Linked DNA regions of Rattus norvegicus. The protein of the gene in region 1 interacts with the protein of each later gene in a biochemical or structural test. Links are inferred from orthologs where the notes say so. Each region holds a gene or a part of one and is shown in the gene's direction. Other genes may lie near its edges.

Region 1 (3,500 bases):
GAAAATTCTAGTCTAGAAGCTATGAAGATAATTCTGACAAAGTTCTAAAAGAGGCTTGTAGTAGGATGTTTCCAACAGCAATGGAATTACTAGAGCTATAGTACAATGAAGGAGAATGAAGACTTAAAAGGTGAGTCTAGACTTTTCATAGGATTAGGTTAGTATTACCATCACTAGCAGTGGAGCAGAGGGTGAATGGAGAATATCAACACACTCAAGTGATAGTAAAACAGCCAAGTTGAGTGTCCTTTTAGTAACTGACTTGAGAGAAGGGAAACGTTGCATCAGAGGTTTTGGTAATTGTCTGCATGGATGATAAATAGATGCTTTTACAAGACAAGTAGAACAAAATTTTACTGGATAGCACAAAGAGCAGGAGTTGGTGACAGTGGGGAAACCAAAGCAGTTTATTAGAGAATGTCAGAGATAGAATGACATTGAATGTGGTGCTCATGCTAATAAGGTACAAATAAATAACTAATCATTATTTCTTCTTCAGAGGATGGAGAATTAAGAAGAACACTGCAGTCACTAGCCTGTGGCAAAGCTAGAGTTCTGGCTAAAAATCCAAAGGGCAAAGATATTGAAGATGGTGACAAGTTTATTTGTAATGATGATTTCAAACACAAACTATTCAGGATAAAGATCAATCAAATCCAGATGAAAGAAACGGTAAACCTTTTGCTTTCTCCTACTCCTAGTATATTGGATTAAATGTGTTTATAGTAGAAATTTACAGATTAAAGAATTTATATTATATGCTTGAGTGTTTTATCTGCATGTACATTTGTGTACCGCATCAGGGCTGGGGCCCACATGTAAGAAGGGGACATTGGATCCATTGGAGCTGAAATTAGAAATGTTTGTGAACAGCCACATGGATGTTGGGAATCGAACTCATGTTCTCTTTAGCTGCTAAGCCATCTTTCCAGCTTCAAAATTTACAGTTTATTTTCTCAATACCATTTCATGTAACATTTTCTGTGCCTATATCTGGCCTAATACATTTCAGTATTTGATAATATGTTTGTTTGTTTTGCTTGCTTGGGTTTGCATTGCTAGGGATGAGGAATGCATGACCATTTGTGTTCTTCCATTGAGTTATTTCTTTATCCCATCAATGTGATTTTGTTTTGTTTCTCTTCCTTGTTACTTTTTTTTTAAAGAAAGATTTATTTATTCTATGTAAGTGCATAATAGCTGTCTTCAGACGCACCAGAAGAGGGCATCAGATCTCCTTACAGATGACTGTGAGCCACCATGTGGTTGCTGGGAATTGCACTCAGGACCTCTGGAAGAGCAGTCAGTGCTCTTAACAGCTGAGCCACCTCTCCAGCCCCCTCCTTATTACTTTAATTTCCCTATGTGTAGTGTTCCTTGTTCATATTCAGTTCCTCACTGTCCTGGACCACCATCACTTGCTGGTCTCCTTTCTCCCAAATAGTTGTCTCGCTTTGCTTTAACATGTCCGTCTTTTGCATGAGCATGCATGTTCACACACTGCATATATAATCTTTTAGTGCATACACACTGCATATATAATCAAACCCAGAGTTTTCCTTTTTCCTTCAATACTCATGTCTACTTTAATGTCGTGTGTGTGTGTGTGTGTGTGTGTGTGTGTGTGTGTGTGTGTGTGTGTGTATTTAGATCTGGATTCCACATGTCAAACAAAATGTATTTTCCTTAAGTCTGGTTTATTTTGCTGAACAGGATCTCCATTATCATTCATTATCCTACAGATTACATCATTTTATTCTTTATGGCTATATAAATTTCTATAGTGTTAATCATTCATCTGATGATGGATATCTAGAATGGTTGTGTCTCTTTACTCTTTTTTTTTTAAAATAAGTGTCTCATATCTCAGTGATAGGAAATGGAAGTCAAAGTAAAGTACATCCTTGGAGGCTCATGGACCAGGTAGCTTAGGGTATAGGGCAAAGTTTCAAGCTGATAAAGAGCCCTGTCTCAAACAGAAATGAAAGGCACCTGAGCTCTAATGCCCAAGGTTTTCCTCTGATGTCCCCAACTACACCCATATAACAGGAATACCCCAACACACATGAAAAAATCAACAGAGTGCCAAATAGTTATATAATCTTGAAATACCTAAATCTTCATCTCTATGATCTTTTCCTTAAAATGACTTCATGGGGGACGGAGAGATGGCTCAGCAAAATTAAGAGCAGTGCCTCCTGTTCCAGAGAACCCAGGTTCCTGGTCCCCACATGACAGTTCACAACTATCTGTAACTTCAGTTCTAGAAGATCTATTATGCTCACACACACACACACACACACACACATATCTGTATATATATATGTATCTGTATATATGCATACATGCATGCATGCAAGTAAAAGACCAATGCACATGAACTTATGGAAGTAAGTTTTTGCATCAGTTGGTATAAACATTTTAAATTTTAGGGAAGGTCAGTAGACAACCTCCAGAGTTATTCCTTTGGAGCTATCTACCTTGTTTCTTGACATTGTTTCTTACTTGCCTAGAACTCACAAATTAGCTACGCTGGCAGGCTGTCCATCAGGCACTAGGAATCTTTTTACATGAGTTCACAAAGATCTAAATGTAAGAAATAGGTCCTTATGTTTGCAGGGAAAGCAACTGAACCTACCTCCTAATGCTCAAGGGTGGTATTTTTCTCTTTTCCTGTATTGCATTAATTTATTGGTACAGGGCAGTAGTGGCAACAGAAAGAAAACTATGTCAAGTTTTTTTCTCTCATTTAAATAAGTCAGGTTCTTTAGAACAATAACATTATGTCCCTAATATACAATTTGTGTTCCTAATTAAGTTGACTGTATTTGAAAACTTGTTTTAGGTTGAAGAACAAGCAAGCACTACAGAAAGAGTATTTCAAGATAGACAGTACCAAATTGATGCTGCGATCGTCCGAATTATGAAGATGAGAAAAACACTTAGCCACAACCTTCTTGTTTCAGAAGTCTACAATCAGCTAAAATTTCCAGTAAAAGTAGGTTTTTCTTTGTCTCCATACTGAACGTGTTATAGGTGAAAGGGAATATGTTTAATTTTTAGACACTAATTTTCAAATATAATTTTTCTATATTCAAAGACTTAAAGTCATTTGGAATAACACACATTCATTTCCTATATTTGTACATGTGTTTTACAAAAGAACTTTGTTTAGCAAATACCCAGTTTACAAAAGCCACTCTCTGTACTTCAACGTTTAGTGAGTAAATGTGACTGAAATTTTTGAAGTTAGTTACTATATATCTTTTGAATCTTACTTTTCTGGAGATGTCTTGGCATTTGACAGATTTGGTTATTAGACTGAGTTATACCTTATGCTTGGTTACCTATATAAATATTTGTTAAATCTGTTACAGAGGCTTCTGGCTTTATCCTAGTCTAGTGGTCAAGCATTTTCTGTGTCTGTTGAAAATGTCTAGCAGTGGTTCTGGTAAACTTGAATTGGTCACTGTATGGGCATGATCCAGTACAAATGTCCA
Region 2 (3,937 bases), on another chromosome or scaffold:
AAAACCCCTCAGGCATGGTTACTTATAATTCCAGGACTCGGAGGCAAAAGGATGGCTGTGAGCTTGAGCTCAGTTTGGGCTACATAGTGAGTTCCAAGCAAGCCAGGCTACAGAGTGTGAGCCCCCACCTCAACCTCTCACAATCCCTCAGGCACACTCCAAATTTGGAACATGAAGACAAGCACATCAGAGTTTCAAAGTCATTCTTGGCTACATAGAGTTCAAGACCAGTGTGTGGGTTACATGAAATCCTGTCTCTAAAAACTAATTAGTTAACTAACTAGCTACTTAGCTAATTAAAAGCACATTTGTGGACTGTGGCTTTAGATCTTTGGAAGAAAAAAAAAAGAGAGAGAGAGAAGTGAGAAAAAGAAAAGAACAGGCTGGGAGGTTGTGGTGCTCACCTTTAATCCCAGCACTCCAGAGGCAGAGGCAGGCAGATCTGGGTGAGCTGGAGGCCAGCCTGGTCTACAGAACCAGTTCCAGGATAGCCAAGGGTACACAGAGAAACCTTGTCTGGCAAAACAAACTAAGTCAAATCATAAAAATTTAAAAACAAGGTACAGGAACTTTCCCCTCCCACCTTAAGCTGTTCTATGTTCTCCTGGATTGAACTGGGGCATTCATAGAGATTATTCCGTTTTCTTCAGCTCTGAGAGGAAATCAAGAATCAAAAGAAGCGAAGTCATTTGTTCAACTGGGACAAGTAGTGTAAGAAGTCTGTAAGTGTAGGGCAATCGTTGAACTATTAAGGAGAGCTTTATTCTAGTATGATTTATCTTCAATCAACGTGTTCACAAAAGACTAATTCCTTTTTCACTTAAGACAAGGTCTCATATAGTCCAGGTTGGCCTTGCTCTTAACTGAGTATGACTTTGAACTCCATATCCTCCAAATGCCTCCTCTTCCTAAATTCCTGGGATTACAACCGTGCTTGCTGTCTCCGAAATTTAGTTCTCTAAATTACTTCAACACTCGGTCACCAAGAGAAAATGGCAGAAACCCAGCCTACTCTATGCTTTAGCTTATGATCTGAATTTGTTTATTTATGCCTAGGAAGGCAGCGGGACTTGCAGCAGGAGCTGAGCAATGTTTCGGCACTCGGCTGCAGTTCCTTGAACGATTGCTTGGGCGCTCTTCCTTTGATGTCTGGGCGTTCGTGTGTTCGATGATCTTTTGCAGCGTCTTCTAGGTTGATGTCTCCAGAGCGGCGGCGGCGGTGCCAGGTCCTGGACTGAGTTATCCGGGAGACCCCGGGCTCTGGCCGCTTTCTTCCGCTGGTCGGTCGAGCGGGCCCCTCGCTTCCTTCAGCCTCTCCCCGCCTTCCGTCCGTGGCTCCGTGCGCTCGTTGGCCTTCCGGCCAAGCTCTCACTCGCCTCGCAGGTAGGCCCGGGAGGAGCCTGGGAGGCCCGGTCCGGCATCCTTCCGCCGAAGGCAGGAGGAGACCTTGGCGCCGGCCGGTGGGCGAGCGCGCGGCCCGTCGGGGCGCGCGTCGTGAAGGGGGTTGCGCCTGGGGGCGCGGCCGGAGGGCTGCCCGGAACTGAGGGAGAAGCCGGAAGGAGGGAGAGATGCTGAAGCTATTGGCCGGGTTCTGTAGAGAGGGGATGTCTGGTCCTGGACTCGTGTCGTCACCCCTAGATTGTGGGAGCTTGGCTCTCTTAGACCCAATTCTCTCTCTCCTTTCCTGCAACTCATGTTCCGGACGTCATTCCTCAGTTGCACTGGTGACCCACGCTGAGGCTAGCCTCGGAGTGCCCTTTGAGTTGGTGGAGGCTCTTGAAACTAGGCCCTCCAGCTCCTTGGAACGAAATGTCAGGTTCTATTCTTTTGGAGTAGGGAAACTGAGGCTGAGGTATGGGACCTGACTTTTCCCTATGACCCCGACAGAGCATTAAATATGCTGTTTGTTTTTGTCTTTAACAGTTGACCCTTCTCTTTCTCCCATTTTACTGGTCACTTTTAACTTAACAGTGATTTCTCATTTGACTACTTGGAACTCTTCTTTCTTAAGAAACATTTATTGTGTTACTGGAGGCTTCAGACATTAAGGGAGCAAGGAATATTTTTTGACTGGATTTGTCTTTTCGAAATTTGTATTTTAGCAAAAGTAGTAAGGATAGTTTGTTTTTGTTTTCTCATAAATAATTTTGTTTACTTCCACTTTACTTCTGATTAATACTGATTCCACTCTTCAGCTTACTCTAACTCTTTTCTGCTATGGGATTAAGTACTTAGTGCAAGATGGAAGATGGTTAAGACTTTGAACTTAGGTTCTTGGGAAGGTCTTTTCTAGGAGGTATCTAGAGGGAGTCTAAGGAGACTCTTTTGAAACTTTTTTTTTTTGTATTTGGTTAGTAGTTTAGTCATTTTATTAAGAGTTCAAAAGTCTGTGTAGAAACTATTCAAACTTAGTTAAATTGAAAATGAATCTTTTTGTGAATTTCACTGTTTCTCTTTTCTTTCTCAAGGTCTTAAGGTCAAGTGTTTTTGTTAATTCTGTTTGATCAAGTGTCATGATCCTAGTCATTCTAGGTTGGATAAGTTTCCACAGTATGTAAAATTCATAGGAGAATGACTTTAAGGTCGTAAGAAATTCTGTTTCTACACAGTTTTAAGATGCTTTATGAACTTTGGAAAGATGATAGAATTTTACATTGTTTCTCTAATTTTTTCTTTAATGTATGTGTAAGGTTAGTGAGGCTTATTATTCTTTCTCTTCTTTAGTAGTGCTGGGAATTTTGAACCCATGGCCACATACACATGCTCTGTCACAGAGATCTACCCCTGAGATTGGCAAGATTTAAATGAAGGTGATAGATTGAATGATTGGTTGATTGCCTGTTTGTGTGTGTGTCTGCACATGGGCATGCCATACATGCATGTGTTTGTCAGAGGACAATTTTCAGGAGTCTGTTCTCTCCTCCTAGTCTATAGTGAACTCAGGTTATCTGGCTTGACAGTAATCCCATTTTATTTTCTGAGCCATTTTGATGGTCCATGAAAATCAAATCTTTTGATCATAAGCAATTTCTTAGTTATAAGGACCTTGGTACTTTTTATAAGTGTGTAGATTCTTGATTGGGTAATTAGGCCAAAATTATATCTTCTTTGAAGAGAACTTTTATTATGGAAAAAATATACCAAAGCAAAGAAAGTAGAGGTAGAAGTAACATTGCCTGCTGTGACTTTATAGTTGTAAGTGTGTCTTAGTGACTCCCAATGAGTGACAGATAAGAAATGGTGATTGCTGTATATGTCATGAAGAAAAAGGTTAGAAACATTTTGAATGTTTCTGTAAGAAAGAACCAGCAGAAGTTTAAGTTGAATTGAGACAGATAAACTTGGTGGTGGGTGAGGTTATAGGAATGAGACTCTTAAGCTTCTCTACTTTTCTTTATAATTCATACAAGTTTTGCTTGATTAATTTTCGTATATTTTTTTGGTTTGTGTATGGTTGTTTTGGAGTTTTTGAGGCAGAGTGGACCTCTTGTGTTCCAGGCCAGCTTTAAATCGACTGTGCAGCTGAGGATGACCTTGAGCTCTTTGATCTTCCTGCCCCTACCTCAAGTACTGGATTACCAGTGTGAACCACTACTTGATGCTATATCTTGGGAATTACCAAAGTCAATTTGGGCCGTCTCCTGGCATTTCAGAAATGTTCACATTATGACTGAATCATTCTGTATTTTGCTAAGATGGTTCCTGTGGATAAGTAAGAGATATAAGCTTCAAATAGCTGTGGCTGTACATACTTTAAATTCCAACACCCCAGAGACCGATGTAGGAAGATTGTGAGTTCTAGGTCAGCCAGAGTTAACATCCTGAGACTGCCTCAAGAAACAAAAACAACAACAAAAATGAACACAAGACAAAAAAAAGACGAAAGCCTCTGAATGTTTTCTGGATTGTGGCTGGACCAGAGTTACTGAAATAAACT
Region 3 (3,981 bases), on another chromosome or scaffold:
AAACAAACGTCTCACATTAACACAGGACTTCTTTACAGATAACTATCTGTCCTTGCCTAGCGACTTATCCACCCGGAGACAAAGGAGTATCTCTTCAGCATTTAATAGATGCATCTTTTTGCATATCACTGCCATTTAAATTGCCCACTTTGCAGACAAATCAGGCTAGTTGATAACGTCGCTTCCCATAATCGCTTTCGTAGAACTGGAATTCAACTCCTAACCCTAAAGTCATTTCTCTTGGCTACCTGCACAAGGGACGCTAACTCGTGGAACTTGTCTGCAGAGAATGCGCGCGTTCAGCCATGCTCTTCCTTATGGAACCATGTTCTCATCCTTATGGAACCTGTTATAGAACGCGCCATTCGAAGTCTCACAAGACAAATCGCTATAAAACGCTCAGGAAACCATATGGCTCTCTTGATGAAGGTTTCACCTGCACTGAACGTTTTAAAATATAATCTCCGACTTCAGGATTTTTAGGAATTGTCTCATTTACTGTATGGGAAATCTGAGACTGTAACCCCAAGTGGTCAAAGGCGTACTCGCTAGCGCAGTCCTCTGCTCCCGCTGTGCAAGGCCACTCCAACAGCACAGCAAGCGCCCAAACGCAGGATCCAAGACAGCGGCGCTTCCCGCCCCATACATCGGCGCATGCGCCTTCCTAGCTCCTCTAGCTGCCGCCACAAGGTGGCGCCACTCCCCCCAGATGCCTCTCCCGTTCCCCTCCTTCCGTACCTTTGTCCAGTTCCATAAGAGCGGAGTTAGCGTCCAGCTCCTGTTCGCCATAGCCGGCATCGGCCAGGAAAGACTTGGTTGAGTTTGACGCCATGATCCTTATAGTTACCGGACTCGCCTAGTCACAAAGATTGCAAACTCTTCCCCTGCACCGCCATCTTCTCCCGCCGCGGTCTCGCGGATTTTTCCCTCCGTGAGCTGTCAGGCAGTGTACGCATGCGCCCGGGCCGCCCGGCGGTTCGCCCGCGCTTCTGTGGCCCCCCCCGCGCAGGCGCTCAGGGGGTTTGTGAACCCTGGGTTCCCGCGGCTGAGCGAGAGGAAGGCGGGGCTTAGAATGGGGCCGAGCCTCCGAGGCTCCAGAACGCTGCGACGAGAGCCAATCAGAGAGCATGACGTCAGTTTGGCGCGGAGTTTGGCGGCCGGGGCTCGCAGTGGCGGGAGTTGGAGGCAAAACCGTGTCGCGCTGTGGAGGGCGCAAGCGGAGGCTCCGGCGGAACTTGGGGGCGATCTCCTCGGCGTTCTCCTCAGCTGAGTCTTCTCCTCAGGACGAAATGCTCTTCAACTCGGTGCTCCGCCAGCCGCAGCTCGGCGTCCTGAGGAACGGTGAGTAACGGTCCCAACGGCCGTGGCGGGAACCACCTCCCCCCAGGCGCTCCACCTTGGATCGCTGCCGACTCCGGGCCTCGAGTTCTCCCGCGGCAGGAGCGAATCCGGGCGAGTGAGGACCGCCGAAGAACCTCGTACTCGGGTTCCTTCTGGAAGGACACTCTTCACCGTAACCGAGCTTTTTAGTTCGGAACGGAGGCCGAAGTTAGGACGTTAACTGGCGCCCCGGGCCCCTGGCTGCTTACGTCAATATCGCGCGTTAACTAGAGTTAGCTGGCTGGTGTGTGTCGGGGATGGGGGACGCACTGGCACAGGCGATGTACGATCTTTGCAGAACCTTAGCGATCCCTGCAAGTTCGTTGTCGTGCACTAGCGCGCGTGGCCCGCAGTTGAGGAACTCAGTCAGGCAGAGAAGTCGCTTAAATCTTGCTTTTTCGGCGCCAAAGCCCCCTCCCCCATCTCTGCAGGTTCTGAAAAGTTCTAAAATACAGACTAAAAGATGCCCATAGCTACCCCCACGAGGCGACCACGGGTAATAGATGGAAAGGTATTGTTTCAAATGTGTTTTGATGCCTAGGTATTTCCAGAAACAGGATTAAATTCGTTTTTCTCTGCACGGTGGAATTCAGCCATATTCTCCTGTTAGCATATAGAAGGCCAACTCATTTCCTACAGTTCTCTTGGGCAGCTTTACAGAAACATTGGCAATGCGATTGGGTTTATGTGTGATTAAACTAAGACTTTGAAGAGTGGGCCTAATAATGTTGAGAAGAGGAAAAGCTCCTTGAGGTCCTGCTCGGATCAAAAACTTTGTATTCTTACTCCTCCTTGGATACTCTTGTAGTTAACATTCTGCTTGCTCATTTCTCTCCTAGAACTTTACAAAACTCCCCCTGTGTTAGGAATGGCCGCCCTGCACAATGCTTGTGAGTGGTCTTTGGAGTTACAGCATCTGAGTTTCAACTCCACCTTCTTTTCCTATGTGACATATTTTCTATCTATCCACTTTTCAGCCTGTCGTTCCTGTTTACAGATACTGGTTCAGTGATAGGCATTGGAATTCCTTTATTGTTACCTCCTGAAATCTGTGTGTCTCCTTTCTTTTTCCCCTCCTGGGTTGCTGTGCCCACTTGCTTGGATGATTATAGCCTTAAGTAAGGATCCACTGTGCTCACATTATTCCAGTCCCTATATTTTGGATTAGTTTCTGTAAAAGCTGTGTGTGTTGATCTTAATCTAGACAGGCACACAAGCATCTTACATTTTGAAGCCCCAAACTGAGTTGGCATTTCCCCAAAATTTGTTACCTACTTTGGGGACTGACATTATTAAACTGGTATCCCAGCTAAAAACTGAGAGTCACTCAAAGACTCCATAGTCCTCATTATGACCTTTTCAAAAAAATTCCCCTAAGCTTGCTTGAATCTATCTCCTTCGTCCCCACTGACTCTGCCTCTTTACCACAAACTGATTCTTCCATTTTCTGTATTCCTTTTCCCCAGACTGGAATCTGATACTTTACTCCCTGGATTATAATATGCCTCCAAAATGTGCTTTTAGTTTCCTTTCTCTGCTGATGTTTGTAAAATAGAATATAATTACTTACTCTTGAGAATTTTTAAATCCATATCTAAAAGTTTTTAGTGTAAGCTTTAAACATGCAAAAATATACCTTAACCTTTTACATACCCAATTATACCAACTTGGGAGTTGTGGTTTCTGCTTTTCAAAGGTGAGCAAATGCTTCAGCTGTTTTGTACGGTTGCTTTTTCTTCTGAATATTCCTACCTTATTTCTCCCCCAAATTTATCCTATTGTAATTTAAAAGTTCTTACCACTCCAGCATGCTACATCAAAAAGCATATAAAGTGCTATTTTCTTTGGTTTTAATACCCGATAAATTATAACCATAGTTAATTCATAGTGGATAATGGGTAAAAACCAAGTGACTTATGTTTTAAGCAAAAAGCAAAATTTTTATTGAAAGTGCATCTTTTAAAGAAATAGACTTAGGTATCTGGTGCGCCTTATGATCTCAAATTGTCTCATAGTTAGGACCTCACTAGTTTTATCTTTTTTAAATGTTTGTAATGGACACATAGTAGCTCACCTTTTGACAGTGCAAGGTATAAGATGGGGATGGAAGGACACCTTCCTTTTGTGAGATAGAAAGGAAGTGAAGCAGCTGATAGGAAAGGGACAGACAACAGCTTTGGAAATAATATGTGGAAGCTGTTGAATTGATATGGTGTTGATCCTCTGAAAATGCAAAGCCTTGTTGTATATTTCTTGTAAGTGTGGGCCTTTAGCTGTGTATTGAGGAAAGAATGGACTTTTCCAGATGAGTGTTGGGGTCTGGGGAATACTACAGGTTCATATTCATAAAGATCCAAAAGTGAATTATGGGGAGATGCAGAAATAATGGACTTAGTAGGCCTTGCTCAATGAGTCACTTTAAATGCTGTTTATCAGTCTGAATATTAGTTGAGGTAGAGAGGCAGAGTTAAGGAATTAGCTTAATTGTGAAAATATCCAAAGCAAATTGTATCTTCAGTTTTTACTTATGTGATTCTTCTTTGAATGGACTTAAAATCCCACATTATACACATGCATTTACATGTAGCCTTTTGTTTTCGA
Region 4 (4,070 bases), on another chromosome or scaffold:
AAAACAAAAATTAAAAGACCAAGTAGCATGCTCAAGATAGTTGTTGAAGAATGGATAACTATGCCCTCAGTATCTTAATTAACTATGGGTTTCTAGCATCCCTTAGGGAGTCTATTGACACATAAATCAATGACGATTTTAGTGTGGGAGGTAGAACTTGGGCCAACACACACACTCCTTGCAGGCTGTAGCAAGTCTTCTTTGTGCAAGTTAAAACTGTGGTGGTGTTTCCGGATGTATTGCCCTGCTCAGCAAGGACATCAACAGCACACTGAATTGCACGCCAGTATTTCTTTCAAGTGGGCATTTCAGATAAAACGTCATTGTTGTCCTGTTGAGGGAACTAGAACACATAAGAAGTTCGAGGGTGATGTATTCTAGTCATACCTCTGCAAATTTAGGAGATAAAACAGTGGAGGGCTGGGCTAAACATGGAAGCATGACAAAAGATACAGGTTCTTAGCTCGGTGGTAATGACCGGTAAGAAAATCAGAATGCCTCACCCAAATTCAAGTTTGGCCACTACAAATGTACTAATTTAACTGTAGCACAAGTAGCAAAACTCGGATGGGAAATGGGGAGAAAGGAGGATGGCATCTCCCAGGCTCCTACGTGTTCTCCGTGTCTTTCTGGTGAGAAGGTGAAGGCAGAGCTGCAGAATGCCTGCTCTGTTTGTTCCTGGGCAGAACATTCAGGCCTCTCTCTCCCTATCAAATAATTTCCCAAACTGAAGTTGAGAACGCAGACCGTGCCCGGGCCTTGGAAAGCCGAGTCACAGGGCCCCCAAGCCGGCCACGGTCAGCAGAAGGCCGTTTTGAACGTTTTGGAGTTTCGGGTTTCCACAGACCAGCCCATGCCCTTTGCACCGCGGCCTTGGGGGCAGCGCTGTGGGTCTGGATCAGGTATAAATTCTGGGGCAGAAGGAGGAAGCAGCCGCCGCCCCAGAAGAAGGAGTCAGGCCACAGGGTTTCCCAGAAGGCGAGCAGTATTCAGACCTCAGGGACATTCCCACCAGTTGGCTCCCTTCGCTCGGCCCCGCCCGGCTCCGCCCGGCCCCGCCCGACCCCGCCTCAATCACTCCAGCCTCCTCCCCAGCTGAGAGCGACGGGGAACCTCCGCCTGCGCCTTTAAGGGGCGTGACCGCAGCCTCCGCCCCTTCTACCCGCACGCGCCAATAAGGGGAGGGGTGCGAGAGGAGGAGCCTGGCGAGAGGGCAGGCGGCGGAAAGTGAGCCGATGCGCAGGCGCAGTGGTCGCACGACAGTGTGTTTCCAAAATGGCGGCGGCGATGGATGTGGATACCCCCAGCGGCACCAACAGCGGCGCGGGCAAGAAGCGCTTTGAAGTTAAAAAGGTTGGGTCTCGCCAGCGCCTTCCTCAAGGAATCTAGGGAGGCGCGGATATGGCTGGCAGGCCCGAGGAAGAGCTAGGCGCGGGGGAAAGGGCTTCATTTCAGGGCGTTCCTGGGACCGGGTACCACTAAAGGAAGCCGGGGGGCGGGCCTAGGGTTGATCGGCATGATGGTGGCCCACTGTCTTGGCCATATTAGTTTCGCTGGGAAAGCTGTGGGTCCAATCGCAGAGCTGCTTACTGAAATACGCGAGGTTAACTTCGGTGCGGGAGCCAAGCGCTTAAGCTGTCACTGAAGTGACTGAGAGTTGGGGGAAGGACAGGGTGGGGTGGGTAGGATGGAGACTCGTGAAGAGACTGCGGCGGGTGGAGGATGGGGCTGTGCGGAGAAACCCGGGAACGTGCGATGACACCGCAGAAGAGCTCTGCCGGTGTTCTTGCTCCGCCCCTTCCTGGATCCTAGAATCTATTGACTCCGAGGGACCTGGTGTGGGCCCTCGATTGTATGGCGGCCTCCATTAGCCTTCTAAACCCACAGTCTCAAGTGTAAAGCTTGGTTCTTCCGAGACGTGTACTAGTTGTCACATAGCTTCTGCCACTCCAATGGTTCTCTAATGCCCGTGTACACTTCTAACACAAAATGGTAATTTAAAAAGTCTGGTGGGCTTTGTTTTAAAAGCAAGCCCAGAACTTGTGCCATTTAAGAAGGCGGAGTACTAATTGTTAATGACCTGGGAACACAAAAAATATGAAACGTCCTTTTGTATTCTATTCCCTTCATAGTTTTCTAGCACTTTAAGAGAAAAGTGCCCGTTCCTACCTAAGATTACATAAATCTGCTCAAAATGAAGATCTTGAAGTGGGGAAGGTGTTTTTGGTTTTTTGTTGGTTTGTTTGGGGTTTTTTTTCCTTTTTGTTTTTGTTTTTTTTTTTTTTGTATGTATTACTTTTGGAAAGAGTCGCTGAGAACACCTCCCCACCCCACTCTTTTTTTGTCATCTCATTGTGGCCACTGCTGCTCAGTTACGGCCTGCAGCCATATGGAAGAATAATAGAAATAATGTCGAATTTACTAGACTCGAATACTTGAATTTGAGAAGTCAAACCAAAGTAGTCCTTGAAAGGGGTGTCCTAGGGGTTGGGGATTTAGCTCAGTGGTAGAGCGCTTGTCTAGCAAGCGCAAGGCCCTGGGTTCGGTCCCCAGCTCCAGAAAAAAAGAAAAAAGAAAAAAAAAAAAGAAAGAAAGGGGTGTCCTGCCCAGTGTAAGTCTTGGATCAATTTACTAGAACTAGCAAAATAATAGTTTGGACATATGAACGTTGGGAACATCAGTTTCCTTGGTAAGAGGACAAGAAAATTGCACTGGATTGACTTGCTTGCAGTGCTGTGAGGTGTAAGTGATGACCTTGTTCTGTGTGCTGACACTGGGTAGGTAACTCACTATCCAGCTTATCCCACGATTATCCCCTTAGCGATTGATCCATTTATTATCGTAGTTCAGTCTGTTCACCTCTCTTCCTCCGAGTCCAAAACTGCGTGGAGAGCAAATACTTAGGCAGATTTTGAGTTCGACCACATCTGTCAGGAACAGCTCCACATTAGTTCAAGTTTGTACTTGAAGCTAAAATGGGTGTTCAAAAAATAGCTCTAATATTCCCACGTCGGTTTGGCTAGCTAAATTATTTTATGCTATAGACCAAAAAAAAAAAAATTGGCGCGGTGGGGCTTGCCTTCCTCTTTCCGCCATCTTGGCGCCTTTGGAAGCCCACTGGGAACAGGACTTCTAAAAAAAACAAGTATGTCTGGAAGGCTGTGGTGCAAGGCCATTTTTGCTGGCTACAAGCCAGGCCTCCTGAACCAAAGAGAGTACACGGCTCTTCTTAAAATTGAAGGCGTTTGGGGTTGGGGATTTAGCTCAGTGGTAGAGCGCTTGCCTAAGAAGCGCAAGGTCCTGGGTTCGGTCCCCAGCTCCGAAAAAAAAAAAAAAATTGAAGGCGTTTATGCCCGAGATGAAACTGAGTTCTACTTAGGCAAGAGGTGTGCTTATGTGTACAAAGCAAAAAACAATACAGTGACTCCTGGAGGCAAACCAAACAAAACCAGAGTGATCTGGGGAAAAGTAACTCGGGCCCATGGAAACAGTGGCGTGGTTCGTGCCAAATTCCAAAGCAACCTTCCTGCAAAGGCCATTGGACACAGAATCCGTGTGATGCTGTACCCATCCCAGATTTAAACTAATGGAGAGTAAATAAATAAAAGTAAAAAAAAAAAAAAATTAAAAGTACCCATGTTCAGGAATGAGGAAGTGTACACGTGGTCTGCTGTTACCCTCTGATGTTGTACAAATAATGCAATCCAAAAATCATTCTTTCTTTGCTAGGCCCTATGGCCAGGGAGTTGGTAACTGAAGCCGCAGCTGAAATCCTAACGAGTCTGTTATGTTACCCAGAAAATGCATTGTTTCCCCTCTTCTCCTTGCAGTGGAATGCAGTAGCCCTCTGGGCCTGGGATATTGTGGTTGATAACTGTGCCATCTGCAGGAACCACATTATGGATCTTTGTAAGTAACTCGGGGCGGGTGGGAAGGCGTTGAGGAAGAGAGAAATGGCGGTCATCCTCGTGTGCCCAATTGTCTTCTTTACCAGTGAATACAAAGCAGGGTCAGAACCCGTAGGTACTTGAGTGTTTGAAGTAGATTGCATGTTGTTATTTTTGGAGACA

The links.
Region 2: the proteins of Cul4b (region 1) and Ambra1 form a complex in vitro, tested with the Homo sapiens proteins (2 studies listed by BioGRID, with this or other methods). The link is inferred for Rattus norvegicus from reciprocal best matches to the Homo sapiens genes CUL4B and AMBRA1.
Region 3: the proteins of Cul4b (region 1) and Dtl form a complex in vitro, tested with the Homo sapiens proteins (2 studies listed by BioGRID). The link is inferred for Rattus norvegicus from reciprocal best matches to the Homo sapiens genes CUL4B and DTL.
Region 4: the proteins of Cul4b (region 1) and Rbx1 form a complex in vitro, tested with the Homo sapiens proteins (4 studies listed by BioGRID, with this or other methods). The link is inferred for Rattus norvegicus from reciprocal best matches to the Homo sapiens genes CUL4B and RBX1.

The regions. Positions count from the first base shown.
Region 1 is NC_086039.1:122,157,800-122,161,299, reverse strand, and holds part of Cul4b (cullin-4B), read left to right. Parts: intron 1-499; coding exon 500-672; intron 673-2,845; coding exon 2,846-2,998; intron 2,999-3,500.
Region 2 is NC_086021.1:98,155,489-98,159,425, forward strand, and holds the start of Ambra1 (activating molecule in BECN1-regulated autophagy protein 1), read left to right. Parts: upstream 1-1,137; 5' UTR 1,138-1,383; intron 1,384-1,694; exon of another isoform or gene 1,695-1,852; intron 1,853-3,937. UniProt on the Homo sapiens protein: Substrate-recognition component of a DCX (DDB1-CUL4-X-box) E3 ubiquitin-protein ligase complex involved in cell cycle control and autophagy.
Region 3 is NC_086031.1:105,683,122-105,687,102, reverse strand, and holds the start of Dtl (denticleless protein homolog), read left to right. Parts: upstream 1-1,181; 5' UTR 1,182-1,289; coding exon 1,290-1,341; intron 1,342-1,363; exon of another isoform or gene 1,364-1,624; intron 1,625-1,636; exon of another isoform or gene 1,637-1,891; intron 1,892-1,904; exon of another isoform or gene 1,905-3,981. Other genes in the region: Ints7 (integrator complex subunit 7), read right to left, coding at 739-832. UniProt on the Homo sapiens protein: Substrate-specific adapter of a DCX (DDB1-CUL4-X-box) E3 ubiquitin-protein ligase complex required for cell cycle control, DNA damage response and translesion DNA synthesis.
Region 4 is NC_086025.1:114,869,709-114,873,778, forward strand, and holds the start of Rbx1 (E3 ubiquitin-protein ligase RBX1), read left to right. Parts: upstream 1-1,270; 5' UTR 1,271-1,275; coding exon 1,276-1,353; intron 1,354-3,830; coding exon 3,831-3,909; intron 3,910-4,070. UniProt on the Homo sapiens protein: E3 ubiquitin ligase component of multiple cullin-RING-based E3 ubiquitin-protein ligase (CRLs) complexes which mediate the ubiquitination and subsequent proteasomal degradation of target proteins, including proteins involved in cell cycle progression, signal transduction, transcription and transcription-coupled nucleotide excision repair.